Arabidopsis thaliana: one gene and its partner. The protein of the gene in region 1 interacts with the protein of each later gene in a biochemical or structural test. Each region holds a gene or a part of one and is shown on either strand. Other genes may lie near its edges.

The links. Proteins that work in one complex are often made in the same cells at the same time.
Region 2: of the proteins of BES1 (region 1) and BIN2, one has a biochemical effect on the other in vitro, tested with the Arabidopsis thaliana proteins (3 studies listed by BioGRID, with this or other methods).

What each region holds. Positions count from the first base shown.
Region 1 is NC_003070.9:6,685,391-6,692,097, forward strand, and holds BES1 (Brassinosteroid signaling positive regulator (BZR1) family protein), read left to right. Parts: upstream 1-3,144; 5' UTR 3,145-3,289; coding exon 3,290-3,348; exon of another isoform or gene 3,349-3,443; coding exon 3,444-3,714; intron 3,715-4,031; coding exon 4,032-4,775; 3' UTR 4,776-5,021; downstream 5,022-6,707. Other genes in the region: AT1G19340 (Methyltransferase MT-A70 family protein), read left to right, coding at 1-112, 228-261, 420-495, 584-761, 855-944, 1,030-1,129, 1,269-1,408; RRA3 (Nucleotide-diphospho-sugar transferase family protein), read right to left, coding at 5,282-6,397, 6,651-6,707. UniProt on the Arabidopsis thaliana protein: Positive regulator of brassinosteroid (BR) signaling. Transcription factor that activates target gene expression by binding specifically to the DNA sequence 5'-CANNTG-3'(E box) through its N-terminal domain.
Region 2 is NC_003075.7:10,294,147-10,301,151, forward strand, and holds BIN2 (Protein kinase superfamily protein), read left to right. Parts: upstream 1-1,991; 5' UTR 1,992-2,327; coding exon 2,328-2,342; intron 2,343-2,379; exon of another isoform or gene 2,380-2,931; coding exon 2,932-3,024; intron 3,025-3,115; coding exon 3,116-3,448; intron 3,449-3,540; coding exon 3,541-3,615; intron 3,616-3,708; coding exon 3,709-3,765; intron 3,766-3,859; coding exon 3,860-4,000; intron 4,001-4,090; coding exon 4,091-4,141; intron 4,142-4,221; coding exon 4,222-4,317; intron 4,318-4,403; coding exon 4,404-4,487; intron 4,488-4,569; coding exon 4,570-4,767; 3' UTR 4,768-5,243; downstream 5,244-7,005. Other genes in the region: AT4G18720 (Transcription factor IIS protein), read left to right, coding at 5,799-6,441, 6,925-7,005. UniProt on the Arabidopsis thaliana protein: Negative regulator in brassinosteroid signal transduction pathway important for plant growth. May be also involved in auxin signaling pathway. Phosphorylates and increases the degradation of BZR1 and BZR2/BES1 by the proteasome.

The DNA of each region.
Region 1 (6,707 bases):
GAGAGTGTTTCAAGTGTTCAATAACCTAGTAGTGAATGAGATTGGAGAAGAAGTTGAAGCTGAGTTTTCCAACCGGAGATATATAATGCCCAGAAACAGTTGCTTCTACATGGTTTGTGTTTTTTACTTGTCTGATTTTATGATTCTATAAAAAAATGGAAACTTTTAGTTGCTGTGTGAAATGGTTCTTCTGATATTACAGTTCTTTTTACCATGTTGCCTTGAAGTCTGATTTACATCACATCCGAAACCTCGTTCCTGGTAAGTCTTGTGCTATTGTCCATTATAGATAATTTGCTAAAAGCTGAGATTTTAGAGTATTCTGGTTCTTGTTGATTGGTCCTGAGTCATGTGAGAAAAGATCAGTCATTATCATATCGGTAGGCGATGTAATAGTCTTATTGATGTCATATATGCAGCTAAATCTGAAGAAGGCTACAATCTTATAGTTATTGATCCGCCTTGGGAAAATGCAAGTGCTCATCAGAAATCAAAGTTCGTTATCTACTTAATGTATGCATGTGGATAAGTATTTTTTGTATCTGAAAGTTCATGACCAATGTTTCTTGGTTCTTTGTTTTAGGTATCCTACTTTACCGAACCAATACTTCTTATCTCTTCCGATCAAGCAGCTTGCTCATGCTGAAGGAGCTCTCGTGGCTTTGTGGGTGACAAATAGAGAGAAATTACTAAGTTTTGTTGAGAAAGAGCTATTCCCTGCGTGGGGAATTAAGTATGTAGCTACAATGTATTGGTTAAAGGTGAGCTCATCTTGCAGCTCTCAGTCCCCATCTTGGTTTCTGAGTTGCACATATGACTTGACATTTTACATACTTGCTATGTAAATGTTTCAGGTGAAACCGGATGGTACACTGATTTGCGACCTGGACCTGGTCCATCATAAACCTTATGAGTACCTTCTACTAGGCTACCATTTTACCGAAGTAAGTCAATTCATTTTTTTGTCACTTGAATAATCTGAGAAAGGAACTTCTGTTTGAACAGCCATGTTGTGTATACATGTCATAGCTTGCAGGATCAGAAAAGAGGTCAGATTTTAAACTCTTGGACAAGAACCAGATAATCATGAGCATCCCTGGTGATTTTTCGAGGAAACCCCCAATTGGAGGTATTCTTATGTTTATATTTTCAACAGCTTTGTTCTGCGATTGGCTTCATCAAATTCAAGAGTAGATAATGCAATTTTTTCAAATTCTTGGTCTAAAGCTCCCCTGATTCTTGTTTGTTTCCACTTGGACTTTGTGTAGATATACTACTGAAACACACTCCCGGGTCTCAACCTGCTCGGTGCCTTGAGCTATTTGCGAGGGAAATGGCTGCCGGATGGACCTCTTGGGGAAACGAACCGCTTCACTTTCAGGACTCGAGATACTTTTTGAAAGTTTAGTGGGCGCATTCCCTAGGGTGTAACCAAGAAAAAGGCTGGCTTGGGCCCTCATGATCGTTTTTCTCTATGACTCATTCTCAAGCTGGGGACAGTTAGGAGAGAACCCTTGGAAAGAAGTGGAAGGTTCGGTTCATCGCAAACGACATCGTTTGAAGAAGACAACACTAGAGTAAGCCTGAAAAAAGTATAGTGTTACTAAAGATTATTTTGTCTCAGAACTGTACCATCAATTTAGTAAGCTTTTTCCTTTTCCTTTCATAAACAGATGATGTTTCAGATAAAATTTAAATATATTATCAGTACAGTAAGATTACATACTATATTAGTATCACTATTCTGCTATTCACTAGATTTCTTTTTCTTTTTCAACAAAATATGAATAAAATAAAGGCAAAAGCGTGTTAAATATAAATTCAATAAGTGACTACTCGTTGGAAGATCATATCTGCTTTGATGGGTCTATTTGTGGGGCAAATCCACTATCCAGTTTTCCTTTTGTGTTCAATGAACTATACAATTGTCAAAAAAAAAAAAACATGAGAATTAAAGAAAATCATCATGACCAATGAAGAGCAGGTCCCAACAATAATTCCGAATTATAGGCTCTGATTGTTATAGCAATCAAACAATATGCTTACAAATCACAAAACAAAATTAACGATATTTCCAAATATAGAGCTTTCCAGTTTGACTTAATAATGTTGTGTGAATATCCTCACATTTCCATTTTCGACTCTCTTTAGTAAATTTTGAAGTAGTAGAATGATGTAGAATGTTTTGTTTTATCAATCACACAGTTTTGTGAAATCACGATTTCCATCCACTATTCAAGAAAAACATCAAGTGGAAGAAATAATAAACCAAAACCATCGCAACAAAATGCATATCACGAGTATAGAATGAACAAACTACACTGTCAAATACTTAATTTAGGACTTAAACTTCGCTTTCAGACAACTTGGTTCGGAAACTTGACCATCCGTCATGTTGATATACACAATCCATCTCAAATGTAGTAGTGAATCACTATATCAGCATGTGTTATCAAACGCAAGTTGTCACTAAGATCGGAGCTTCTAGTTCAAAATGTTGATAAGTATTACGAAAGTACAATTGAATATACCAATTATACATCCAAACACGTCCATGCTTCTCCACTCGAGTTCTCTTTGGAAATCTATATAATCCGTCGGTTTGGTATTTTACTAGTTGTACGTAGTGTCTCCCCTCATATGTATTGAGTCTTTATAGTTTGTTGCCTCGTATACGATAGAAAGTAAAGGCTAAAAAACCATACTATTTCATAAAGGGTTTATTTAGTTAACTTTTAATCTAAACCATGTATCACTCCATTTTACGTATATTCGTTTTCACAAATAATCTACTAAATAATTTTGTAATGTGATAAAATTAAAGAATAAACACATGATACATAAACAGTCAGGACAAAAGTAAGCACTCATTTTCTTCTATTCATACTATAGTGAAACACTATTTTATTTTTATCCATATACTATAGTGACAAATTAATCTAATCATTAAATGTTATGAGGCTCAAAACAATTTGTTTTCTTATTTAACATGGCCGATCCCCTCATAAACCAATCAGATGGTGTGTTTTCCGGTCATACTCGTGTAGGACCCACTTCATTACAATGGCCCCACATGTCTCTCTATCTTTTTCTCCTCTTTATAAAATCAGCTCCTTTTCTTACACAGATTTAGAGAAACACAACATAAAACGTACTTCTTCTTCAAAACGCGAAACCACACTGTAAGTTACGTACACCACCACCTATCCTCACCATTCATCATCGACACGTGGCTGGTTTAACTCAAATCAACGGTGAATTCTTTTTGCTTTTTTATTTTAAATAATGAATGAAAAGATTCTTCTATAATTCCAGCGAAGAAGAAAGAAAAAAAAAAGCGTATTCCTCGTGAGCACTAACTTCTCACTCATTCTTCTTCTTCAGCTGAATCCAAATACCCATTTCCATTTTTAACCGTGGTTGGATTGTTTTGAGAGTTGAAGGAAGAAGATGACGTCTGACGGAGCAACGTCGACGTCAGCTGCAGCTGCAGCAGCAGCGATGGCGACGAGGAGGAAACCGTCGTGGAGAGAGAGGGAGAACAATCGGAGAAGAGAGCGGCGGAGAAGAGCTGTTGCGGCGAAGATTTATACTGGTCTTAGAGCTCAAGGTAACTACAATCTTCCAAAACATTGTGACAACAATGAGGTTCTTAAGGCTCTTTGTTCTGAAGCTGGTTGGGTTGTTGAAGAAGACGGAACTACTTATCGCAAGGTCAGTATCAAACGCATTTTTACTTAGATCTGATGTTATCTGATGATTTAGCTGTTGAATCTGAAGATTTGGATTTGAAATTGGTCAAATTGGGATTTTCTTGGCTATGAATTCGAGGTTTTTAGCTGAGGAAGCTCAGTTTTATTCTAAAATTGGATCGAGATTCCTTGCGGAGAAAGTGACCTTTAGGGTTCTTCTTACTAATTTGAGAACCGAATTAGCTTTACTTTCACTTGGTTACTATATTTAGATCTCTCCTTTAGCTTTTGATTGATTGTGACATTGTGATGTTTTTGGTATTGTTCTATGAGCAACAGGGACACAAGCCTCTACCTGGTGACATGGCTGGATCATCTTCTCGAGCAACTCCTTACTCTTCCCATAACCAAAGTCCTCTTTCTTCCACTTTTGATAGCCCCATCTTATCTTACCAAGTCAGTCCTTCCTCTTCTTCATTCCCGAGTCCTTCTCGAGTTGGTGATCCACACAATATCTCCACAATCTTCCCTTTCCTCAGGAATGGTGGTATTCCTTCATCGCTTCCTCCACTTAGAATCTCAAACAGTGCTCCTGTCACTCCACCAGTGTCATCCCCAACTTCTAGAAACCCCAAACCATTGCCTACTTGGGAATCTTTTACCAAACAATCCATGTCCATGGCTGCTAAACAGTCAATGACTTCTTTGAACTACCCGTTTTATGCGGTGTCTGCACCTGCCAGTCCTACTCATCATCGCCAGTTCCATGCTCCGGCTACTATACCTGAATGTGATGAGTCTGACTCTTCCACTGTTGATTCTGGTCATTGGATAAGCTTTCAAAAGTTTGCACAACAACAGCCATTCTCTGCCTCTATGGTGCCAACCTCGCCTACCTTCAATCTCGTGAAACCTGCACCACAGCAATTGTCTCCAAACACAGCAGCAATCCAAGAGATTGGTCAAAGCTCCGAGTTTAAGTTTGAGAACAGCCAAGTTAAGCCATGGGAAGGGGAGAGGATCCATGATGTGGCTATGGAGGATCTAGAGCTCACGCTTGGAAATGGTAAAGCTCATAGTTGAGATGAAGTATACATGAACCTGTTATGTCATGTCGGAAGGAAGGATTGGAGAATGAGAATTAGTGTGTTGTTCATTCAGTTCATGGTTTTGGTTCTTGTTCTAGAATCGATATTCATTGTACCAGTGAGTTTGTTTCACAACGCATTATTTGTAGATAGAATGTTTAAGATGTATGTTTCTATTATCATTCCTTTTAGGTCTTGAAAACATTACAAATATATTACATGATTAAGTGGCTTGAAATGTAAATTATATATCGGATGATGAAACAGAGAAAAACAAGTGAGGCTAAAACAAAGACTTGGGATGTAATAACAAGATCAGAGAGGTTAAGAAAGAAAAAAAAGACTTGCGATTTTAGCCATAAGATACACAAAAATTCATAATACAAAGAGGAAAGTAGAAGGCATGAAGCAGTAAACATTGGAAAAGGGAGAAATATATTAGAATCACAAATGTCAAGAAACTCGGAAAGTTTTTTTTAGCCTATCTGCTTTTCAGGTGAATCATTCAGAACCATCGGGGAAGCTATCAAGCGCGTCTTGCTTACCGTTAACGTAGAACTCAACGACGGCTTGCATTCTATTGAGCTTATCTGGATGGTAATTCACATGAACAATCACTGGTTTCACTTTCTTCTTCAGTTCATGATTCTTTCTTACAGTCTTGAAAAGGACCTTACTGTTCATAAACTCATACATATCCATGACTCTCTTGGATGCATGTAGCGCAGTGTACTCAGGATGTGAAGGATAAAACAGTTCCTCGTTGAAAACCGCTTGGTCCCACACTTTAGCCTTAGAGAGTCTATCTGCCACGCGATCAAGCAGCTCGATTGATGGAATTGTAGGCCTCAAATAGAAAAACCCGGAATTGAAAACCCATATCCTCATAGTGTGAGCATACCGAGCCCATCCCATGGCTGGTTCATCAAACACATCATTGAACCCATAAGCCGTATGATTGTCATGGCCATCACTCATTGACTCCACATCAGAGTCTCTGTATAGATGACTAAATGGGTTCTGCAAGAAGACAATGTCCACATCCGAGAGAAGAACACCATAACCGAGTTGCAAGAACTCTCTTAACACACGGAATTTCAATCCAGAGACAGCATGGTTACCTCCAGTTTTCCCAACAGTATCCACGTCCTTGTCTGGATCTCTCTTGTAATACGCAACATCGTTCTCTTTACATAAATTCTCTATGTAATCGTCCAAAGCAACAACCAGATAGTTTGTTATACCCACTCTCTTAATGCTAGCAATCTGAACCTCCAACATTGCTTTCACATTTGCGTTTGCAAGAGCTACAATTACCTCTTTATCAACAGCAATCTCCTCTAGAATCTTTGCCAATCTTGGGTTTATAGATTCATCAGGAAGAATAGTTGGATTAGTTCTCAGACTCTTGACAGTTCCAAAAGGACCAGCCTTGATCTGTGTTCCCAATGCTAGAACCTGTTTTCTTGCATTGTCTGATCCTTGCTCCGCTAACCGTAGCTTCTCTGTTAACTCTCTGACCTGCTTCTTTAACTCTGCATTCTTCTCTGAGAGAGTTACAAAGTCTGATTTTAGCATTTTCACTCGTTCTGGCGATTCACAAGCTGATGATCCAACCTAGACAAAGCAAGTGTGGAATTTATAAACCACTCAACTAAATTCCAAATTAAGATACAAAATCCAGTAATCAACCAAACCAGTATCATGATAAACTTCACCCTAATCTCCAACTAACACATCACCAAGAAGAATTTCTATGTTTAGACACTAACCACTTAATAACACCTATAATGGCAGAGTCAAACATCAATCTATGTAAAACTCGACCACAGAACCACAAAAATTAGAGCTTTAGAGGTTTATGTAGTACCTGGTTGCTTGACTTCGAAAGATGTTCGCTTGCTTTGAGAGATGAGCTTGAGTTGAA
Region 2 (7,005 bases), on another chromosome or scaffold:
AAGTTACAATAATAATCATATAGAAACAAGTTCAATAGCAAAATTAACTTAGACATGCAATTTACCGATTTCTTGACATTAGTCGAAAAACATTTGAAACTCGGTTATACAATGAGGTTATCGTTCAGGCCTCTGGAAAGAAAATCAATTCTATAATACTTCAATAACTTTTTAGTAAAACTAACTGGATCAACTGATGAATCATATATCAAAAAAACAAAAAAAAAAACTAACGGAGGTAGACAATAGTTTAGCTGGAATGCTTGAAGAAATGGCAAGAATATGCTTCGAGAAGTTATGATTTATGAAGAGGTTACCTGCAAATTTTTTCATTTCTTTTTGCCGACGGTTGGCTGTTAGTTAGGAAAAAGAATTTTTGTTATAGGATTTTCTCTTCCGTTTCGTACAAACCCAATCATTATTCTCGTCTTTATACTTAACTTTGCCTCTCATTTTCATGTTATCAATCTTTTAAATTAAATATATCGTCAATGACTGTTATGAATAATTAGTTCTTCATTCTCTGCCTTGGTTCGAACCTCAGTCACATGGTGCACGTTATTGTGATTTCCCATACCTCAAGAGTTATTCAAGATCCCTTACAGAAATATATTTATATAATCTTTTATCTAATGTAGTTATTTACAAACATGTATTATCTACCAAAATAAAAAGGGCTAAAAGCTTCTTGAGTGAGACCGCTTTTGGTTCGATTCATTTTCCTACACTCCAATAGTATTACACTATTGTATATAACAAGAATCGTGGGATTTGTTTAATCCGTACAATGAAACAAGAAAGATATACAATAACTTAATATCATTTTTTTTTGGGGACAATCTTAATATCATTTCTAATTTCTATAGAACCAAAAACACTCATAACAACTTAAACTTTGTTTTTTGTGAGAAAAATAACAACTTAATTACTAGTTACTACATTGACAATTTAACATCTTCAGCTAAAACCGAATGTATATGAACATTTATAATCTAGTTGCTATTGTATATACGATTGGATAATACGCATATCGACATTTAAATAATTGAGCCTGAAGATAATTCACAAATATGCAATGTAAATCCGTCCATACAGCCAAAAGTATGTATGTCCCATGCATAATTGAACAAAAAGAAATTATATTAATATTATTTTTGTTGTCTTCTGCAAATGCTAGGACTGCTATCATTATCATCATTGATTTTAATATTGATGTTTCCAGAAAAATAAATAAACAAATATAAAGAAAAAAACAAACACAATAAGTAAAGCTACACTATTAGGTAATAATTAAAGCTCATTTTTAAGTCTAAAATTTTAATTATAAAATAAAAACATTAAAAAGTTAAGACCCAAAGAAACATAAATGCTTTTTTCTTTCATCAATGTCAAAAAAGAAGTTTTCCCACCAAATGGTCAAACTTGGATCTTTGACAATATTGTTCCAATTTCATCATGCCCTATCTTTTCTATTTATACACATACCTTAGATATAATTATTAAACCCAAAATTTGTGTTAAGAAAAAAAATAGACCCAAAATTTGTGTTAAGAAAAAAAATAGACCCAAAATTTGGAATATATATATAAGTCACCGCTGGAAAAAAAATTATTGCAAGTAATTTCTTATATGAAATTGGAATGATAATATTTTGATCAAGTATCCATTACTAAAATTTTACAACGCTAGATAACGAGATTGCTTGAAGTCGAACTTGTGAACAAATTATAATAATGTAAAACTAACTTGTATTGACTAATCTTTGATTTTTTTTACAATAATGAGTGATATTACATTCATTTTATTAACTAAATACAACGAATATGATAAATATTCAGTCCTCTTATAAACTTTATGATAGTGAAAATTTGAGACATTGACAATTCTAGCATTCTAACATTTTATGAGATTACATGAAATGTCAATTTAGACCTTAAACCAAACGAATACATGATTCAAATTTGACCGACAAGTACATGATGCCTTCCCTTTGATCACGAAATTTCCACAAAGAGTCCGTGTCTGCGTAATTAACCAGCAATTTCAAGGGTGTTTACGTAATTGTAGCTTAACAAATAAAAAACACGAAAGAAGATGGCGAAGAAAACGGAAAGTAGTAGATAGATAAAGAAAGAGAAAGAGAAGAGCTGGATTCACATGGTCTTGTTCTTTCTCTCTCCTTCTTTTCTCATCTTGCGGCTTCCCTTTCTCTCTCTATCGCCACAATGATCATTACCAACCAAACTGATTGAAACTCATTTGTTCTCTCTCTCTCAAATCCACTCTCTCTCTTTCTTTTCTCTTCTCCTCTCTGTGTCTCTATCGCCATGGCTGATGATAAGGTAAAGCTGCTTGTGTTCCTTTTGCTGTCTTTTGAAGAAGAAGATCCTGTTTTTTGGTTTTTCCACATTTGACCCTTCAATTAGTTGTCTTGAGATTCCTGTTCTTACAGATGTTTTGTGATAATAAATCTAGTTTAGTTAGTACTCTTGAAGTTGAACGGTTTTGAGTTCTGGGTTTGTCCAAAGTTTTGAGCTTTCGTTAACTTTTTGACTTACCCTGAGATCTCTGAGGGTTTTGAGTTCTGAGCTTAGAATTTTCTAAGTTAGCTCTGTTGGGATGATCCATGTCTATATATCTCGATCTGTGATTAATCCAGAGTTTATACAAGCTGCTAGATCCATAATTGAACATAGATTAGTCCTTGTTTGGTTTGTTATATGTATTTGTTTTGTTTACCATTCTTTTGGCGTGACAAAAGTATATATTTTTAGTTTTAACTAAATCAGATTCACTCTGCGTAACGGTTATTTTGTAACCACTCTTTTAGGATAAAAGTTTCCTTCTTTAGACTTTTGATTCTCAGACAAGCATTATTCTTTTAGCTTTTGATAATGGTTTTGTGCTGATATTAAAGCTTTTCTCTTTCAGGAGATGCCTGCTGCTGTAGTTGATGGACATGATCAAGTCACTGGTCATATTATTTCCACCACAATCGGTGGCAAAAATGGTGAACCAAAACAGGTATTTTTAAGGCTTTTAACCAAATAGACTCACTTTTATGTATATGCAAGATTTTGATGGTTACCAATACATTTTTCTATGTTGTTGTTAGACAATTAGTTACATGGCGGAGCGAGTTGTTGGTACAGGCTCGTTCGGGATCGTTTTCCAAGCAAAATGTTTGGAGACTGGAGAAACCGTGGCGATAAAGAAGGTTTTGCAAGATAGAAGATACAAGAACCGAGAACTTCAGTTGATGCGTGTGATGGATCATCCGAATGTGGTTTGTTTGAAGCATTGCTTCTTTTCGACTACAAGTAAAGACGAGCTTTTCTTGAACTTGGTTATGGAGTATGTCCCTGAGAGCTTGTATCGAGTTCTGAAACATTATAGTAGTGCAAACCAAAGAATGCCTCTTGTCTATGTTAAACTTTACATGTATCAGGTAATAACAACACACATTCATATCTTCCATTTCCAAAGTTGATGTACATAAGATTGTTCTTAGGCTGATATTACTTCCTTTTGTTATGTTAGATCTTCCGGGGACTTGCTTACATTCACAATGTTGCTGGAGTTTGTCACAGAGATCTAAAGCCTCAAAATCTTCTGGTATGTGTAACATTTTAAGATTGAACTCTTTGTTTTTTTTCTTGCCTTTGTTTCTTTCGTTCTTAATGTATCTCTTCTGGTCTCTTTCTATAGGTTGATCCTCTTACTCATCAAGTCAAAATCTGTGACTTTGGCAGTGCGAAACAGCTCGTAAGACTTTGTGACATATAAACTCATTCGACTTGTAGCGGTTGTTGTTTTCTGTGATCTTGTCATTTACTGTTGAAATTTACTTTTGCTTCAGGTTAAAGGTGAAGCCAACATTTCTTACATCTGCTCACGATTCTACCGTGCACCCGAGCTCATATTTGGTGCCACTGAGTACACAACTTCTATTGATATCTGGTCTGCTGGTTGTGTTCTTGCTGAGCTTCTTCTTGGTCAGGTAAACAATTCTTTCAGTAACCAGCTTATTCAATCTCCATGTGTATATTTGCATTAGGACTCATTGTGACTATATCATGTTCTTATGCAGCCATTATTTCCCGGAGAAAATGCTGTGGATCAGCTCGTTGAAATTATAAAAGTAAGAATCTTTAAACGATGATTCCTTGCAAATTACATTCTTTGGCTACAAAATCCTCACTGTATAGTTGTTGTACACAGGTTCTTGGTACACCAACTCGAGAAGAAATCCGTTGTATGAATCCACATTACACAGATTTCAGGTTTCCACAGATAAAGGCACATCCCTGGCACAAGGTTAGTGTCTTTTCTCTTTTTGCATGTGTTCTTGTTTCAGTTTCTTTCTTCACACATCAACTGATCATAATTACGTTTTGGTTTAGATCTTCCACAAAAGGATGCCCCCAGAAGCGATTGATTTTGCATCAAGGCTGCTTCAATACTCTCCAAGTCTAAGATGCACAGCGGTAAGCATTGGTCTTGAGGTTTCTTCAGTCTCTAAGAATCCAACTGAATCCTTACTATATATTTTGTTTCCTCGTATTTCAGCTCGAAGCTTGTGCACATCCGTTCTTTGATGAACTCAGAGAACCAAACGCTCGTTTACCAAATGGACGGCCTTTCCCGCCTCTCTTCAACTTCAAACAAGAAGTAGCTGGATCATCACCTGAACTGGTCAACAAGTTGATTCCAGACCATATCAAGAGACAATTGGGTCTAAGCTTCTTGAATCAATCTGGAACTTAAAAGGGATCCTGCAAAAGACAACTACTTTTTTATATATAATGTACCATTACACGAGCCACAAGGTCGTAGTTGAAGGCAAACGTGGAGGACACAATTCAAAGTTTTTCCTCCTCAAACTCGTTCAGACAAAGCCAGCTGCTAGCAAAACCAACTCCCCCAAATCTGCGAAAACAAAAACTCTCCAGTGTTGTATCTGCTTATTTCTCTTCTCTTTTCAAGTTTGGTGAAAAACACAGTCTCCTCTTTGCTTCATTTCTTCTTTCTTTCCCCCTTATGTAAATGAGTTTAGTCAGAAGTTTTTTTATATAGTAAAGTTTGGGCAGAAGGTGAAGAATGTAATCAAAGTGATACTCTTTCAACGAGGAGCTTCTTTCAAACACTTTTTTTTTTTTTCAAACACTTCATGAATGGATACATGGTTTTGCTTTAAGCATAAGTATATTTGTATTAAATTTTCACTCAATTTAATTGCACGAATCATTACAAAAATAATATCTCGCTACTCATATAAATACCCTATAAATAAATAAGTGAATTTTTTTTATCTCTCATGGAAATTTGATTTATGTATTTATATGTTTTAAGATTCGAAGAAATTTTTAAATAATGAAAATTTACAAATATATAATTCTTAATTCAGAATTTCAGATATTGAATTACTTATTGGATTTTTAAAACAAAAAGAAAATTACATGACTTTTTTTTTCTTTTTTTTTTTTAAATATCTGTTAGTTCAAGTTAAAAGACCATACATTTTCTAAAGGCGGGACCTATATCAGGTTAAATTCATCTCCTTTTAGAAAAAAAATATATTTGGGAAAGGCTTTGATAGCAAGCAATTAAAGTATCCGAAACTAACAAAACCTATCTGGTCTTGGACTCTTAGTCTTTATATAAACAACATCAGATAGATCGAGAGACCATACGCAACAATTTACTAATTTCTCTTCTCCTTCGTTGCTTTTGAAACCCTAGTTATTATCGAGAGATCAAACACGTACGTACACAAAAGACCGATCAAACAGAGAAGGATGCAGAAGCGTGAGTTCATGGAGTTGTTCGAGGCAGCACTTAGAGCGGCTAAGTCTGTGAAAGGTGATGAGAATTCTCCAGAGGTATCGAGGTTTGTCGATGCCATGAATCGTTTGAAGGAAGCACCCAAGTCACTTGTTTGTGACGTGGTCTGCAAAACCTCCATGGGGCAGGGTTTGGAATTCTTCATCGATCACAAAAACCCTAAAATTCGATCGGAAGGAAGGATTCTTCGGGATCTTTGGATGAAGTTTTTTTACGCTTCAGGTAGAGAAAAGAGCCGTGATAATAGAGAAGCTGCGGTGAAGATCCCGACGCACGCAACGATGAAGAAGACTGGAGATTCAAAGCGAGACAAAGTGCGTGAGATTCTACAAACATCTTTGGCTAAAGTCGCTTCTGAGGTTGTTGACACGGAGATGAAGACACGAGTGACTGCTTGTGATCCTTGGGTTGTGGCTGTATCTGTGGAAACTGCAATGTTTGAGAACTTAGGTTGTTTCATGGGACCTCAAAAAGCAAAGTACCGGTCTATTCTGTTCAACATGGGAGATAGTAACAATCCAGATTTGAGGAGGAAAGTGTTACTTGGTGAGATTAGTGGGGAGAGATTAGTGAAGATGGAGAAGGAAGAGATGGGGAGTGAGAAGATTCAGAAGGAGGTTCAAAGGATTAAAGAGAGAGCAAGATTTAAGGAAGAGAGTCGCGTGAAGATGCTTTCATCAGCAGATATGATCATCATTTAGTTAGCTGCAGAGATTTAGTCATGAGTTTCATTATTGTATAGAATCAGTATTCGTGTCAATTTTCTATCACAAACTCGAGATATTAGTAGATTGTAATTTCAATACGATGATCGTTTTCAAGTTGCTTCATTGAATGGTGTTTCTAAATCTGCGTTTAAAGAATCTAGTCAAAGTGTTTCGTTTCATAAGAGGGAGCTCTGCAGTTTATGCAGTTTAAGGGGTCTTTGGTTTTTTCTTTTGAATGTTTGTCTTCTATTCGCATTAGGACTCATTGTTCTTATGCAGCCATTAATTCCCGGAGAAAATGCTGTACAATGGTTCCTTGCAAATTACATTCTTTGGCTACAAAATCCTCATTGTATGAAGTTGTTGTACATAGGTTCTTGGTACACCAATTCGAGAAGAAATCCGTTGTATGAATCCACGCATTACACAGATTTCAGGTTTCCGCAGATAAAGG